Xenopus tropicalis: one gene and its partner. The protein of the gene in region 2 interacts with the protein of the main gene of each other region in a pairwise test. Links are inferred from orthologs where the notes say so. Each region holds a gene or a part of one and is shown on either strand. Other genes may lie near its edges.

What was found.
Region 1: the proteins of lmo1 (region 2) and ptpn3 interact in binary tests that used the Homo sapiens proteins (3 or more experiments, as listed by UniProt). The two-hybrid records come from large-scale screens. The link is inferred for Xenopus tropicalis from reciprocal best matches to the Homo sapiens genes LMO1 and PTPN3.

What each region holds. Positions count from the first base shown.
Region 1 is NC_030682.2:75,267,121-75,275,938, forward strand, and holds part of ptpn3 (tyrosine-protein phosphatase non-receptor type 3), read left to right. Parts: intron 1-266; coding exon 267-344; intron 345-1,200; coding exon 1,201-1,257; intron 1,258-2,584; coding exon 2,585-2,741; intron 2,742-6,157; coding exon 6,158-6,321; intron 6,322-8,818.
Region 2 is NC_030680.2:3,671,434-3,680,351, forward strand, and holds the start of lmo1 (uncharacterized protein LOC100144284), read right to left. Parts: upstream 5,542-8,918; 5' UTR 4,889-5,541; coding exon 4,864-4,888; intron 1-4,863. UniProt on the Homo sapiens protein: May be involved in gene regulation within neural lineage cells potentially by direct DNA binding or by binding to other transcription factors.

The DNA of each region.
Region 1 (8,818 bases), on a different chromosome or scaffold from region 2:
CTACGCTTTGTGTGACCTTGCCCTAAGCTTAGCTTTTCCACAGCTGTCTAGACCACACTAAGTCAAAATTTTTGACTTTCGGATCACCAATACGATATTATCGTGACTAATACGACAAGAAGTGAAAAGTATCCTGTATTTTGACAGCTTGATGGTGGTTTTTGTAATACTGAATTTTATAAGTCTAGAATACATCACAGAGCAGTATGTGGAAAGAAGTATATCTGCTAGGTTTATCTGCAGTTAAATTATTTTGTATATTGTAGAGTGACACTGTAAATGGAGATTTGTTGTTGGTTCATATTATACCAGATGAAGAAGGAAAATTTGGATTTAACCTAAAGGTAATAACAATTATAAATAATTATAAAATTAAAACATTCAATAGAGATGATATAGAGATAAGATTAACAAATCCTATACAATACAGTATATAGGTATGGTCTTTTGTTTAACAATTAAAATGTTTGCTAGTGGGCTAATTAAAAAAAAAGAAGTAATTTTTAAATGTTAATTGTAAACTTTGACAGTAGCAAGCAATGCCAAACAGATGCAGAAAGGGCCAGTAGGTTTTTGTGCTGTATGAAAAAGCAGTGAGGATTCACAAGAAGAGAGGGCAAGTGTATAAAGAACTGATTAAGAGTATAGAAGATCTTGGTTACAAAAAATGACTGGCCAAGTTGTGATAGTTTGTATTGGAAAAGCGACTCTTAAAGGGGTTGTTAACCTTTATACAGCACTTGCAAATCTAACAATTCACAATAATACAGCTATCATTTCCATATAGATAGCTAACAAAAAATGTGCAGCTGAAGAGATATTTACCTTAGAATTATTCCTCTGCTCAGCCTTCACTTCTGCACAAACCCTGTGCTGGGGAGGGGTCAGTGACACTGAACAACCCCTTTAAGGCCGAATATGATGACCTTATTGACCAGTTGATAAGTTTTTTTTATAGAGAGCATTATGTTATGAATAGCTTAAAAAGTGGGTTAGATACCTTTTTAGCAATTAGCAAATCCAGATTTACTAATATTAATTTGCAGGACAAAGATGATTCAGACACTGGCCTAATTACATTTCTGGAGTCTGAAATAACCCCCCTCCCAGTTGAGGCAAGTTGAACATAGCATCAATTTGGGATTTTTGCTATCATCTGGACCTAATGGAACTTATTTTACTATGTGACTATATCAACAGGGTGGAGTTGATCAGAAAATGCAGCTGGTGGTATCCAGAATAATACCAGGATCACCAGTAAGTAAGATCTATTTTAAGTAATTTCTTTGTATTACGGGAACATCATAATTTTGTTAAACAGAAATATATTGTTATTATTGTCGATAACACGTTCAGTAACTGCAACGTCTGATTGACTGTAAAGTGAGACGTTTCGGCTGAACACCTCAGCCTTTCTCAAAGTTAAAACACACTGTGAAAGCTAACATTAAATACACTGACTGGCGGGAAAATACAGACAACACAGGGGTGTGACGTCACAGTTTCACGCTGTCAAATACACATCAGCCGTGAAATGTTAATTAACATAGAATGTGTATTTTTACTACACTGTGCATAAGTGTGTATTGTGTTCAAACCAAATCAACAATTATAGAGAACGATACCAGGGGATAAGGAGAAAGTGTCAAGTACAAAGAAACAATGTATCAGATAACTAGTTACGAGTAAATTCTCTGGATTGTAAGGAGTGTAAGATACAAAGTGACATAGAGAGGAGATTACAGTCAAGGGTTGCCTTGAGAAAGGTCCCGATGGGGACCGAAACGTAACGTTGGCTGTTCATGCGTTTTTAATACACAATTGATTGTTTTTGGAATATAACTCGGTGTTGCTGGTCTTTTTTGGATATTTAAATCATTTACCTTGCACCCGAGCTAAGAGCTGAAGCAGAGTGCCACCCTGGGTTCGCTATATATGTATATAATATATATATAATATAATATATATATATAATATATATATAAAAAATAAAGTATTAAAATAAAGTAGCTGATGTTACAGGGCTGATTAGTAAATTCTAAAGCTAATTGCACTGGTTTCTGAGTTACCATGTAGTAATTATCTGTATTAATTACTAATCAACCTTATATTGTGACATTTATATTCTGTATATACAGTATATTGTGCATCTGTCCCTGAGCTCAATAACTGACAGCCGGACAGAGCATGTGCAGTGAATCAGCAGAAAAGAAGGTGGGAGCTGCTGGGGGCATCTTCCCTGCTAAAAGGCTGTGGTTGCTTTGAGTTGGTACAGAAGCCGGAAATATAATGTACAGCATTTCTACCCTACTTCATTAGTTAGGCTTTAGTTCTCTTTTAAAGCACTTACTAAGAGGTGAATGGGATGATAATTAAGGGAGTTTTATTTACACTTGTTTAGCTGCTAGAAGTCATAGCACCAGAATATCTGACATCTGTTTGTGTGTAACTGCCTTTAAAGGGTTAGCAACTTTTAAAAAATTCTATGTACATCTGATTTATTTTATATGATCATGTTGTTGTACCACCAACATGCCTCATGTTAACATTTATTATTTCCTTTTCCTTTCCAACACCTCATTAGGCTGATAAGTGCATACCAAAACTTAAAGAAGGTGATCAAATAGTCCTCATTAATGGTCGGGATATTTCAGAGCACACTCATGACCAAGTGGTAATGTTCATAAAGGCTAGTCGAGAATCTCACACTCGGGAACTTGTGCTTCTGGTTCGAAGAAAAGGTAAGCAAAGAGAGGAGATGTAAAGAGATAAAATCTAAATAGTTGCAAACAGCTCATAGATAACTTTACATGGGCTACTTTTTAAAAGAGAGCTATTTGCCTTCATATCAATCAACATAACTGAAACTATTATCAGACTGAATATATATCATTCCATAATCTATTATAGGTGAGCTTTGAACTCGTATACAGCTCCACTAGGTTAACAACTAGATTATTGCTCTGCTTTTCATAAGGCACATGCAGTTGTATCCCATGGAAATACTTGTTCTTAGTTAAAGTGCATTCATTGTGGATTTTTGTGTAAAAATAGCATTTTAAAATATGAAGTGTTATTACATATATACTGTGCAGTAATGCAAACTATAAAACACCAATGTTTTTCCAGTAGCAAATTACTTTCTAAATGCTTTTGTGGTATCACAACACCCTTTGGGGCCGATTCACTAAAGGTCGATTAAACAAATGCTATTTATAGCATGTGTTAAAAATTTTATCACTTCTTATTTTTTGCGACTTAATGCTCGATTGACTAAAAGGACACTAGTCATAATTAAGAAGTGATGCTCTTTGCGATATTTTTGAGGTATTTTCAAGCGATATATTATGCAGAGCGCGACATATTAAGCACGTAACCATTACTTTCTGAAAATTACCGTTCTGAAAATCACCATTTCCCTTAGAACTGGAGGATGCATCACTCTAGGGCCAACACATACAAAAAATACGACTGCAAACTCCACGTTGTGTTGCCAAAAGCTCACGAACTGCAATTTTACCGCCTACCCCAAGTAGGTGTTAATATTCGCACAGATTAACGCTGTATTTTGTGCGTTTAACGCTTCATATGTGATTGTGAATTATGCGTTATTACTATTTCTGTTCGCTAATTAACACAATGCACTAGAAATAACACTTTGCGATGATTCTTTTTTTTTTTTTTGCGCATGCGATATGCGGATTAACGCATGCAAAATGACTTTGATGCATCGGTACTTACTTTTTAACACAAAAAAGCATGCGATAAGCGTTACCGACCTTTAGTGAATCGGCCCATTTATGTCTTTGATATGTTTTCATGAATAATTGAGCCCATATTAATATTTGCTTGGCAGAAGATAATGGGGCATATAAGAGAATGAAAACAAATACCTTTGCTCTAATTCCTTAATATTAATATATTAATATTAGGCAACAGATTGCTGCCACTCTATTTTTTCTTGAATGATGTGATTGCACCTGTACAGGTGTACTATAAAAGGAGAAGCTGATTAAGATCAAGTAGAGCCCCTGGCAAGATTAGAATATGTGGCCCTGTCATTTCACTGGTGCTTTCCTGAGCAACATAATGTCTCATATAGCAGTAAGAAACATCAAAAGAAAAAAAAAACTCTTCAAACAAAGAGAAATTAATTAAAGTTTCTGGGTCACATATACAGCTGGTCAGTTTGCATGGTGCTGTCTTACATCCTTCACAGTTTTTATACTAGCCACCTTTCTTTAGAATGAAATGGCAACAGACTGTTCTCCAGTATTATTAGCTGTGCTTTATAGTAAGAAGATAAATGTTTACTTAAGAGAAGTTACTCTTCTGTGTTGTTGACTGGTTTGTCTAGATCAGTGCTGTCTAATTTCTATGGTACAGAGGACCGGAATTTTTCTGGCCTACATAGTGGAGGGCAGATAATGGAAGCCAGTTTTGACCACTCCCCTTTTTTAAACCACACCCATGTTATCACAAGAGCTTGTAAGACTATATCCACATTAATGGTGGTAGCACAGCAAAAACCCAAATGGTTGGTACTCACTGCAGGGATATTACCCTTCATTGATATGTGAAAGAACTTTATTATGTCATATTACAACATACCCTTAAATCTATATGCCTCCCCTGTGAATAGCACAGCAACCTTCAGCACATAATTGCACATCAGGACCATATAATTACTATTTTCAAATGCTAAGGCATAGGGCAGGCAGAATATGGCACAAACAGACAGCATATGGCAAACAGGGTATGGCAGACAGGCAGCATATGGCAGGCAGAGAATGGCACACAAAAAGGCATGGTGTGAACAGTACAGGGGCTTAAAGGTGTGTACAATACAGGGGATTACAGGTGTGAACAATGCAGGGGTTTACAGCCTGAATCTGATACCATCTAAAGCTTACACAAAGGTAAGCAGTCACAGCAGACAGACAGGCAGACAGACAGGTGGAGATGATGTCATCCAGTATGCTCAAAAGGCAGATTGCTCGGGCAACCACTTTGGGAGAGGCCAAGTTATCCGCTAAAAAGTCTATTAAAGCTGTCCAAAAGCGGTGAGATTGGGGGTAGGACCAGATTGAGTGAGAAGTAAGCCAAAGCAGGAGTCAGTAGGTACACAAGCCATCTGGCATAATTTCACAGGTGTCAAATACAAGTGGTAGAAGGTTTTGTATAGAATAATCTTTTACCTAAATAAGGATATTGTAAATTTTCTCAGTCACCTCTTCCCAATTATCAGAGGTAAGTTCAGAGATATAAGAGGAACACCATTCCTCTGCTGATCTACCCTGTAAATAGTTTTGGGCCCATCAACATAAAGTTCTGATAGATAGTAGATGTTAAGGTAGAGGTATTTATAGAAGGGGAGCTGTCGGTTCTGGGTCCTATCCTGGATTTGGGAACAATTAGTGTTCCAGGATGAGGAGCCTTTTCCTGATTTTTAATATAAGAATATGGTTTGGAACAGTTACCTAAGTCTAGCCCCCTGATGATGTGATAATAAAATAATATGGTATTGAACAGTTACCAAAGCTTATATTCTGATGATCTGGCTAACTACTATGAGACAGTATTTGAATGTCCCCAGCCTACTTCCTCCAAATACCACAAAGTTCTGCACACATTATGTCAATAAGGGAATTAAGATCTCAGTGCAATGCATTGCAGGTTATGTAGTTCCTGTATGCTGTCTTTAAGCTGTGGAGAAGTTGTTATAATTTAAAACAATTTTTTATTCCCTCCTCCCCTGCCTGGATTTCAAATTATGCAGGAAGAGAAAAACTGTTTTGCAGCTGGATTTCAGCATAAAATGGTATTTATTCATGCTCTTTGAAGGAACAGATTACAGTGATAGGTATATTAGGGGTTTCTGTGTTGTGTAGAGCTCTCTAACAAATATTGGAAGAGAAGCCGGAGTTCCCCTTTAATGTTGTCTTTGTTTATCTTGTTTTGAATGTCTAAAGCTTGGAAGGAAAAATTCACATCAAAGGCTCAGATGCAATTTGGGTAGCTTTCAGTTATTTTAAAGCCTTTAGATGCAAATAAAACAGGGTTCACACAAAATTTCAAGCTGTCCTGAACTGATCATGATAGTAAGCCCTGTTTGTCTGTTAGTGATAGCATCTGTGTTTATTCTGTTGCCTTATAGTTGTTAGACACCTTGGTAAAACAAAGTCAGAAGATGATGCTGACTTCACCTTTTTTCCACCGTCAATTCTTCCTACTTGCTCGGAATATGGTGACACATTACAGGGATCAATGGAGCAGCTTTCAAAAGGCTTGGAAACTGGAGTTGTGCTCATTCAATTTGAGGTAATTTGAGAAATATCATCTTTGGTTTAACATTTACCAATATAATAAGCATCTATCATTTTGTATGAATTAATAATTCACCTAATTGACCCCCACATCAGTAAGAGTTGTGCTGTGCTTGACACTGTCAGACAATAGAGAATGTGGTCTTGTGTTGACAAAAGACATGCTTTCAGAGATCTGATATAATCCATATAAAAGGAGTTTGATTTGCATGAAAAGTTTATTGGAGAAATGTTTGTTTTAAAAAAAAAAAAAAGGCACAATTTAGAACAAATATTGCATATCACAACGTAATATTCTTTAAAGGGGACCTTAAGAAATAATTACAAATCCTATTTTATCATGTTAGTTGAGGAAAATAAACTTTACTTGGGCTACATAAATTATTTAACCCTTTAAGTGCCAGCAGAATTTGACATTTCGGTTCCCCTCAGTGCCAGACATTTTGTAAACATTCTGTGCTCTCTCAATTTAGGGGCTTTTACTGGGGGCAGGGTTAAGTTTAGGTAGGCAAACTATATATTGTTTTTTCAGGAGAACCTGAGCTTTCCAAATATGCTTTTTGTGTTTTTGTGTATTTCCACTTCTGGAACAAGATTTAGAGCTTGAAATACAAAAAAAAAGAAAAAAATGCTATTTTTCATGATATAGGGATTTATACCAGAAACATATTTTATTTTATGGACAAAAATTCAACTGATTTGGAAAGCCTCATGTCTCCCAAACGTGCCAATACCTGATATGTATAAATGTATACATTTTCAAAGCATTACAGCAGAATACGGCATACTTTAGATTCCAAAGCCAAAAATCCTGAAACATTAGGTTTACCCCAGGAAACCATACATTTTTGAAAAGTACACATTCTGACGAATCCGAAATGGGTAACTGTCTTCCAACTCCTAAGTACCAAACCGCAATGCTTTACTGAATTTAGCATTTTTTATAAAAAATTATGAAAATTCTAAAAAATCGCCTCTAATCTTCCACTTTACACATTCGGGCGAATTCAAAATTGGTACCCATGTCTTTCTACTCCAAACTACAGAGTCGCAATGCTTTCCCAAAATTGCCAGTTTTGATGAAATACCTGAAAATCACATCAAATCTTCCACTTTCAAGCACCTTATCTCCCACATAACATTAGGTACCAAGAAAACACACCCTAAATATGAAAGCCAAGGGTCAGCTGAATAGTTTGATGCCCATTGTGCATAGGATCACTAATGTATCTGGCATTTAGAGACCCCCATAAGGAAGTTAGTGCATAGAAATTGCCCCAGAGGTCTCTTTAGCTACTGGAAATTCAACACGTTTACTGCATTTTCTGTGGGGTAAAAACACAAAAAAATACATTGACCCCCCAAAACCATATATTTTTGGAAAGTACACATTCGGATGAATTCAAAATTGGTACCCATATCTTTCTACTCCAAACTACAGAGTCGCAGTTCTTTCCCAAAATTGCCAGTTTTGGTGAAATACCTGAAAATCACATCAAATCTTCCACTTTCAAGCACCTTATCTCCCACATAACATTAGGTACCAAGAAAACATACCCTAAATATGAAAGCCAAGGGTCCACTGAACAGTTTGATGCCCATTGTGCATAGGATCACCGATGTATATGGCATTTAGAGACCCCAAAAGGAAATATGAAAGCCAAGGGTCCACTGAACAGTTTGATGCCCATTGTGCATAGGATCACCGATGTATATGGCATTTAGAGACCCCAAAAGGAAGTTAGTGCATACAAAGTGTATACACTGCAATATAAGCTACCGGCATGTGCATTATGTGCCATAAGACCCCCTAACAGTAAGGAGACCCTAGAAAACTATACATTTTCCAAAAGTACACATTCTGACAAAACAAAAATGGGTAAATACATCTTTCTACAGCAAACTACAAAGCTATGCGAAACAGAACGTTTTTTTTTACATTTCTGAAAATCGTCACAAAGCTTGCATTTTACCCCATTATGTACCCCCACATTTTGTACCGTATCAACATAAAACATTCTAAATGTGAACACCAGGGGTTTACTGAACAGTTTGATGCCCTATATGCTTAGATTTACCAAACTACAGGGGCACCCAAATAAAAATAGTGCATATGAATTTTCACATAAGACGCTCCGGCTCGTGCAAATTTTGCACTCGGTATGTATATTATGTGCCAAAGACCCCCTAACAGTATGGACACCCTAGAAAACCATATATTTTCCAAAAGTACACATTCTGACAAAACAAAAATGGGTAAATACAACTTTCTACTGCAAACTACCAAACTACAAAGCTATGCTAAACAGAACGGTTTTTATGACATTTCTGAAAATTGTCACAAAGCTTGCATTTTACCCCATTATGTACCCACACATTTTGTACCGTATCAACATAAAACATTCTAAATATGAATGCCAGGGGTCTACTGAACAGTTTGATGCCCTATATACATAGATTTACTGAACTATGTGGGGTACAGAGGATGCCAA
Region 2 (8,918 bases):
CAGTGTCCTACCCACCATGCCAGGGATAGAGGGGGCACAGTGTCCTACCCACCATGCCAGGGATAGAGGGGGCACAGTGTCCTACCCGCCATGCCAGGGATAGAGGGAGCACAGTGTCCTACCCGCCATGCCAGGGATAGAGGGGGCACAGTGTCCTACCCGCCATGCCAGGGATAGAGGGGGCACAGTGTCCTACCCGCCATGCCAGGGATAGAGGGGGCACAGTGTCCTACCCGCCATGCCAGGGATAGAGGGGGCACAGTGTCCTACCCACCATGCCAGGGATAGAGGGGCACAGTGTCCTACCCACCATGCCAGGGATGGAGGGGCACAGTGTCCTACCCACCATGCCAGGGATAGAGGGGGCACAGTGTCCTACCCGCCATGCCAGGGATAGAGGGGGCACAGTGTCCTACCCGCCATGCCAGGGATAGAGGGGGCACAGTGTCCTACCCGCCATGCCAAGGATTGAGGGGGCACAGTGTCCTACCCGCCATGCCAGGGATAGAGGGGGCACAGTGTCCTACCCGCCATGCCAGGGATAGGGGGGCACAGCTTCCTACCCACCATGCCAGGGATAGAGGGGGCACAGTGTCATACCCACCATGCCAGGGATAGAGGGGGCACAGAGTCCTACCCGCCATGCCAGGGATAGAGGGGGCACAGTGTCCTACCCGCCATGCCAGGGATAGAGGGGGCACAGTGTCCTACCCGCCATGCCAAGGATTGAGGGGGCACAGTGTCCTAGCCGCCATGCCAGGGATAGAGGGGGCACAGTGTCCTAGCCGCCATGCCAGGGATAGGGGGGCACAGCTTCCTACCCACCATGCCAGGGATAGAGGGGCGCAGCGTCCTACCCACCATGCCAAGGATTGAGGGGGCACAGTGTCCTACCCGCCATGCCAAGGATAGAGGGGTGCAGCGTCCTAACCGCCATGCCAGGGATAGAGGGGCGCAGCGTCCTACCCACCATGCCAAGGATTGAGGGGGCACAGTGTCCTACCAGCCATGCCAAGGATTGAGGGGGCACAGTGTCCTACCCGCCATGCCAAGGATTGAGGGGCGCAGTGTCCTACCCGCCATGCCAAGGATAGGGGGGCACAGCGTCCTACCCACCATGCCAAGGATTAGGGGGGCACAGCGTCCTACCCACCATGCCAAGGATTGAGGGGGCACAGTGTCCTACCCGCCATGCCAAGGATTGAGGGGGCACAGTGTCCTACCCGCCATGCCAGGGATAGGGGGGCACAACGTCCTACCCACCATGCCAGGGATAGGGGGGCGCAGCGTCCTACCCACCATGCCAAGGATTGAGGGGGCACAGTGTCCTACCCGCCATGCCAAGGATTGAGGGGGCACAGTGTCCTACCCGCCATGCCAAGGATTGAGGGGGCACAGTGTCCTACCCGCCATGCCAAGGATTGAGGGGGCACAGTGTCCTACCCGCCATGCCAAGGATTGAGGGGGCACAGCGTCCTACCCGCCGTGCCAAGGATTGAGGGCCCCAGTGGCACAGTTTATAGGGGGCGTGAAGTCCCCACGGCTACAGCAAAGGCAGAGGGGGGCAAATTGCTTGGACAACTGGGATTAAAAATGTCTTTGAGGGGCGGGGGGGGGGCAATGGGGTAGTTTGCTCACTGCCAGCACAGTATGAAAAGTGCAATTGCCAAGCTTTCTACCCACAATGCAACATCCCCCCCCCCCCCCCCCCCAAAAAAAATTCCAGAGTAAATGCAGTGGCCAAGGGGGCTATGTGTTTGGCACGTGATCAGGGTTAGACTGGGCCGACAGGACACCGGGAAAGAACCCAGAACCAATCCCCACCACAAAGTATTGGGGTTCCGCCCAGGACACTGGGGGGCAGTAGGGGCCCTTACACCCCAGTCTGACCCTGATCCATCAAGATTCTGTGAATCAGGTGCAATTATACTGAAAATGCCCCCAGTCTCGTTGACCTTTAATGAACAAGAAATTTTCCCCCCCCAACTGCACCTGCACTCAGGAACGACCCCCCTATTAAACAAACCCCCCCCTTATGGAACTCCCAACCATTTCTAATTAACAAGAGCCTGGAATGGTGAAGCTTTACTTGCCCTTTAAATATGATCACACCGATCTGAAAAGCGAAGGGTAAATATCCCAAACCCACTGACGTCCAATAGCCCTGCTGGTTCTGATATGTATCAGGAGTCAGAACCAGCAGTGCAGGGAAGGGAAAGGGACAGACACAGTGACAGTTACACATAACTATAAACCCAGTGAGAATGAGGAATGAATGGGTATTGGGGAGTTGTATCAGGAGTCAGAACCAGCAGTGCAGGGAAGGGAAAGGGACAGACACAGTGACAGTTACACATAACTATAAACCCAGTGAGAATGAGGAATGAATGGATATTGGGGAGTTGTATCAGGAGTCAGAACCAGCAGTGCAGGGAAGGGAAAGGGACAGACACAGTGACAGTTACACATAACTATAAACCCAGTGAGAATGAGGAATGAATGGATATTGGGGAGTTGTATCAGGAGTCAGAACCAGCAGTGCAGGGAAGGGAAAGGGACAGACACAGTGACAGTTGGGGGTAGGTTCTGCTTACCCCCCCTGGGGCATTTCTAATGAATCTGACAGGTAAATGCCCCACAGCTAAACATGAAGTTCAGGTTTCTGACAGATTTCCGAGGCTCTGGGCAAATAAAATCACAGGAAAGCGACTCTGGGCCCTAAACCTATAAAAAGGTTTTTATGAAGAGAGAGCGTTGCCGGCGGATCGATACATGGATACGGAGCGCCTGTGTAACTACACTCACTGCTATTTCTGACTCAAGTGCTTTTTATTGTACGGAAGGAAGTGCCGCTTGATTCGCTGCCCTCACAGGTATGTAAGTGGGTCCGACAGTGCCCGGGGGGGTCCAACAGAACCGCCTGAGCTTGCCCTTTGTACCCTCACATTTCAACTGTAAAGGGGAAGTAAAATTTACAAAAAAAAAAAAAAATAGAATATTCTTAGGTTTAAACCATAACCATATACTTACAGCTTATTGGCTACTGCAATATTAGTCATAGGCAGCCAATCACTCATGTTCCAGTCAGACAGTGCCCCCCCCGGTCATGCAGTAATTGGGAAGTAACTTGGGGGCGGTTTTTATAGGGTCGGGGGTGACAGAACACCAGGAAGAAACCCAGTGAGCCCTGTCGACCCAGAGCCAATCACAGCCAGCGCTTCCCCCCAACTGTGGCAAAAGTATGTGGGGGTCCCAGAGGGGCCGTGGGGTAGCAACCCTGGTGGGCCTCATACATCCCAGTCTGACCCTGCGCATGTTACATTGTAATAAATGCCTGGTTGCTAGGATCATTAAGCCTAGCAACCAGTCATCTCTATACTAAACTAGAAAGCTCTGGTGAAACCATAAATCCAAGTGCAAATCCGCTCAGATTTTTTATACCTTCAAGGTGTATTTCCCCTTTACAATGACTCCCCTGCCATTACAGGGGCTGCACGGCGCCCCAAACCTCTCGGGGGTCCGGATTGGACGCTCCTTCCATTTAAGGGAAAGCGATGACATTTCTAGTTAATACCAAAAAGTAATTTTTCTTGTGCGGTGACATAAAACCAATTACAGGAGCAGAGCTCAATACCGGCTGATAGTTATTTAACTACTCGGCCAATTCCCCACTGTCATCCGTCACTTTAAATCACCGGGAAGGGGGGGGGGGGGGGGAAGTCTGCTGCACAGTCTGAAGGGCACTGTAATATTATAGGGGGGGGGGGGTTCAGCCTCCTGGTGCTGAGTTGTAGTTCAACAACTCAGCACAATTCAGCAGGAACAGCCCACTAAGTTTGCTCATAGCCTGTACAAAGAGATACCATAAAACTATGGCACATAGGGATTCCCCTGTACTAAGCACAATTCAGCAGGAACAGCCCCTAAGTTTGCTCATAGCCTGTACAAAGAGATACCATAAAACTATGGCACATAGGGATTCCCCTGTACTAAGCACAATTCAGCAGGAACAGCCCCTAAGTTTGCTCATAGCCTGTACAGAGAGATACCATAAAACTATGGCACATAGGGATTCCCCTGTACTAAGCACAATTCAGCAGGAACAGCCCCCTAAGTTTGCTCATAGCCTGTACAGAGAGATACCATAAAACTATGGCACATAGGGATTCCCCTGTACTAAGCACAATTCAGCAGGAACAGCCCCTAAGTTTGCTCATAGCCTGTACAGAGAGATACCATAAAACTATGGCACATAGGGATTCCCCTGTACTAAGCACAATTCAGCAGGAACAGCCCCCTAAGTTTGCCCATAGCCTGTACAGAGAGATACCATAAAACTATGGCACATAGGGATTCCCCTGTACTAAGCACAATTCAGCAGGAACAGCCCCTTATATTTGCTCACAGCCAATCATGCAGTCAAACTAAATCACATGGGGCCGGCTAGAATAGCTCACATGACTAGACCAACCTGTAGCCAATCAGACAATTAGAATGTTCCCAGGCCAAGACCACCTGTAACTGGTCAGGACATGATTACAGAAGAGGGGGGTAGATACAGGGAACAGCTTCCCAGCTGAGGCAGTGGAGCCAATACATAAAAAACCGATTCAAACTCAGTTTCTACTCACTACACAATTCTAACTGCCCCCCCCCCTTGGTGCAGGAGTGAGAACCGGCAGTGCAGGGAATACAAACAGCTCAGAAATAAACACATTTACAAGTGACAGGAAAACCTGCACCAATGAGGAATGAGTTGGAGTCGGAGGGGGGGGGGGCAGTTTTGGGGGGCAGTTTCCCTTTACAGCAGTGTCGGGTTCATCCATATTCATTGGCTGGGGGACTTGCATATAAATGACTTACCATCCTCCTTCTCTAACACCATCATCTCAGGGTCGGGGGGGGTGGGGGACCCCAGAGACCCCTCCTGCTCCAGAAGCTGCCGGGGTCGGGTTGTACCGGTCCCTGGGAACCCAAATGACACAATGTAGCCGGGTCGCCGACTCTCCCCAATGAGCTCCTTGCTCCGGTCTAGAACACCAACCCCCCCCCCGCTTGGGACACTTGGGGTCTCCCCGACTTCAGTAATTCAAAGTCAGATGAGCGGAACCATCATGGGCCGGGGGGGGGATCTCCTTGTTTGGGGGGGGCTGCTGTTAGAAGGCTTTCCATTGGGTAATAATACAAATAGACGGCAAGGGGGTCTCTTTCTAACAGGCAAAGCCCCCCTAACTCTTCATTATTCTTCCAATGGAGCCGGCGACACGGACGACAGAGACGCACCCCCCTCCGACAGACGCAGCGACCCCCCGGCGCTTCCTTACTTTGTAACAATGTAGCGGAGAGGATTCGGGGTTTTTCCTTCCCAAATTGTCCGACCGGAACGGTTCGATCCACCCCCGGAGCGACTGATCGCCGGTACCCAGGGGAGAAATCGTATTTATTCGGCCCCCCGACACCTCCTTTCTATTCAGCCGAACCGGAGACGCAGCTACATTGTCTCTGTCGCTGCCGCCGCTGCCTTTCTCTGTCCCTCCGCTTTGTACTCCTGCCCCCAAATAAACGCACAGATTTCCCACAGACCCTTTTATTCTCCTGTCACGGTTTCATGGGCAATTTAAAAGCCTTTCGGCTCATTAGCGCCACCTGCAGCTCAGTCTGCGCAACCGCAACGCAAATTACAGGGGAGAATTACTGCGACCTGTCTGCCGGCTGCACTGGGGCCCTGAGGAGCGGCGACTCAGCTGAGACACACGGTGGGGGTGGGGGTGGGGGTGGGGGGGGGGTCGTTATTCACTTGTTAAAAACAAGAAGCGGGGCCCTTTGTTAAAGGGGAAGTTAACCTTGACAATTAAGATTAATTGGAAGATAATTTGCAGTTGGTCGTCGTTCTATGTGTTATTAAACATGTTTGTCTTTACATGGCTGTAAGCGTTGACATGTTGACAACTGGTTGCTAGGGGTTAATTTACCTAGCAACCAGGCAGCAGCATGAGAGTGTAAGCTCTTTGGGGCAGGGCTCTCTTCCCCTCCTGTATCGGTTATTGATTGCTTTATATGTTACTCCTTGTAGAGTGTAAGCTCTTTTGGGCAGGGCTCCCTTCCCCTCCTGTATCGGTTATTGATTGCTTTATATGTTACTCCTTGTAGAGTGTAAGCTCTTTTGGGCAGGGCTCCCTTCCCCTCCTGTATCGGTTACTGATTGCTTTATATGTTACTCCTTGTAGAGTGTAAGCTCTTTTGGGCAGGGCTCCCTTCCCCTCCTGTATCGGTTACTGATTGCTGTATATGTTACTCCTTGTAGAGTGTAAGCTCTTTTGGGCAGGGCTCCCTTCCCCTCCTGTATCGGTTACTGATTGCTGTATATGTTACTCCTTGTAGAGTGTAAGCTCTTTTGGGCAGGGCTCTCTTCCCCTCCTGTATCGGTTATTGATTGCTTTATATGTTACTCCTTGTAGAGTGTAAGCTCTTTTGGGCAGGGCTCCCTTCCCCTCCTGTATCGGTTATTGATTGCTTTATATGTTACTCCTTGTAGAGTGTAAGCTCTTTTGGGCAGGGCTCCCTTCCCCTCCTGTATCGGTTACTGATTGCTTTATATGTTACTCCTTGTAGAGTGTAAGCTCTTTTGGGCAGGGCTCCCTTCCCCTCCTGTATCGGTTACTGATTGCTTTATATGTTAATCCTTGTAGATTGTAAGCTCTTTGGGGCAGGGCTCCCTTCCCCTCTTGTATCGGTTACTGATTGCTTTATATGTTACTCCTTGTAGAGTGTAAGCTCTTTTGGGCAGGGCTCCCTTCCCCTCCTGTATCGGTTACTGATTGCTTTATATGTTACTCCTTGTAGAGTGTAAGCTCTTTTGGGCAGGGCTCTCTTCCCCTCCTGTATCGGTTACTGATTGCTTTATATGTTACTCCTTGTAGAGTGTAAGCTCTTTTGGGCAGGGCTCTCTTCCCCTCCTGTATCGGTTACTGATTGCTTTATATGTTACTCCTTGTAGAGTGTAAGCTCTTTTGGGCAGGGCTCCCTTCCCCTCCTGTATCGGTTATTGATTGCTTTATATGTTACTCCTTGTAGAGTGTAAGCTCTTTTGGGCAGGGCTCCCTTCCCCTCCTGTATCGGTTATTGATTGCTTTATATGTTTCTCCTTGTAGAGTGTAAGCTCTTTTGGGCAGGGCTCCCTTCCCCTCCTGTATCGGTTATTGATTGCTTTATATGTTACTCCTTGTAGAGTGTAAGCTCTTTTGGGCAGGGCTCCCTTCCCCTCCTGTATCGGTTATTGATTGCTTTATATGTTACTCCTTGTAGAGTGTAAGCTCTTTTGGGCAGGGCTCCCTTCCCCTCTTGTATCGGTTACTGATTGCTTTATATGTTACTCCTTGTAGAGTGTAAGCTCTTTTGGGCAGGGCTCCCTTCCCCTCCTGTATCGGTTATTGATTGCTTTATATGTTTCTCCTTGTAGAGTGTAAGCTCTTTTGGGCAGGGCTCCCTTCCCCTCCTGTATCGGTTATTGATTGCTTTATATGTTACTCCTTGTAGAGTGTAAGCTCTTTTGGGCAGGGCTCCCTTCCCCTCCTGTATCGGTTATTGATTGCTTTATATGTTTCTCCTTGTAGAGTGTAAGCTCTTTTGGGCAGGGCTCCCTTCCCCTCCTGTATCGGTTATTGATTGCTTTATATGTTACTCCTTGTAGAGTGTAAGCTCTTTTGGGCAGGGCTCCCTTCCCCTCTTGTATCGGTTACTGATTGCTTTATATGTTACTCCTTGTAGAGTGTAAGCTCTTTGGGGCAGGGCTCTCTTCCCCTCCTGTATCGGTTATTGATTGCTTTATATGTTTCTCCTTGTAGATTGTAAGCTCTTTGGGGCAGGGCTCCCTTCCCCTCCTGTATCGGTTACTGATTGCTTTATATGTTACTCCTTGTAGAGTGTAAGCTCTTTGGGGCAGGGCTCTCTTCCCCTCCTGTATCGGTTATTGATTGCTTTATATGTTACTCTGTATGTCCAATGTATGTAACCCACTTATTGTACAGCGCTGCGGGGTATGTTGGCGCTTTTAAATAAATGTTAATAATAATAATAATAATACCCTAGCAACCAGGCAGCAGCAAGGCATAATTGCCCTAGCAACCAGGCAGCAGTTTTAGTAGCAGATGAGTAGGAAAGAGCCTGAAGGGAAATATAATAATAATAATTAAAAAAAAGAATAATAATTAAAATGAAAGTCTTTTGGTGACTTTTGGTTGCCTAGGTCAGTGATCCCCCTGGCAACCAGTCTGATAATGGGAAAACCATGGGGAAAAAAACACGACCAACTGAACAGTTGCTTGGGATGGGTATGTCGCTAATATACAAAGGTAACATTTGGGCAATAAAAATAAATGGGCAATCCAGCGGGTGTGCTTGGGTATTGTAGAACTACATCTCCCAGAATCCTATTGAAAGAGCGCTGTGTACCCCCCCCCCCCCCCCCCCCCGGTGCCCCCCTGTGATTGGAGGGTTGGGACCCTGAGGCGCCGGAGCAGAAACTAATTTATTTGGCAAATTTTATTTTATTTAAAAAAAGACCCCAGAGCAGCCGCGCAGACCCCCCCTCTTTATAAATATAACCGCCAATCATTCATGTAGGAACACAAATCAATAAGAACATAAGGACCTGCTTATTAACCCCTTCCCTGCTTGGTGACACTCAAATTCCCCATTCTTGCCTATAGTGCAGCCTTGTGATTGGTTCTCACTGTTCCGTCCCATAATGCCTAGCGACCGGGCGCAGTTTTAGGGTGCACAAGACGAGGGAATTCTGCTCCCCCCAAGTCTAAGCCACAAACAGGAATTATCCATCAAAGAAAGTTTACAATAAATTCTGCTTCGTGTCCCCTCCTTCTGCCGAAATGTGATTTCCCCTGAAAAATGGATTCTTGCCG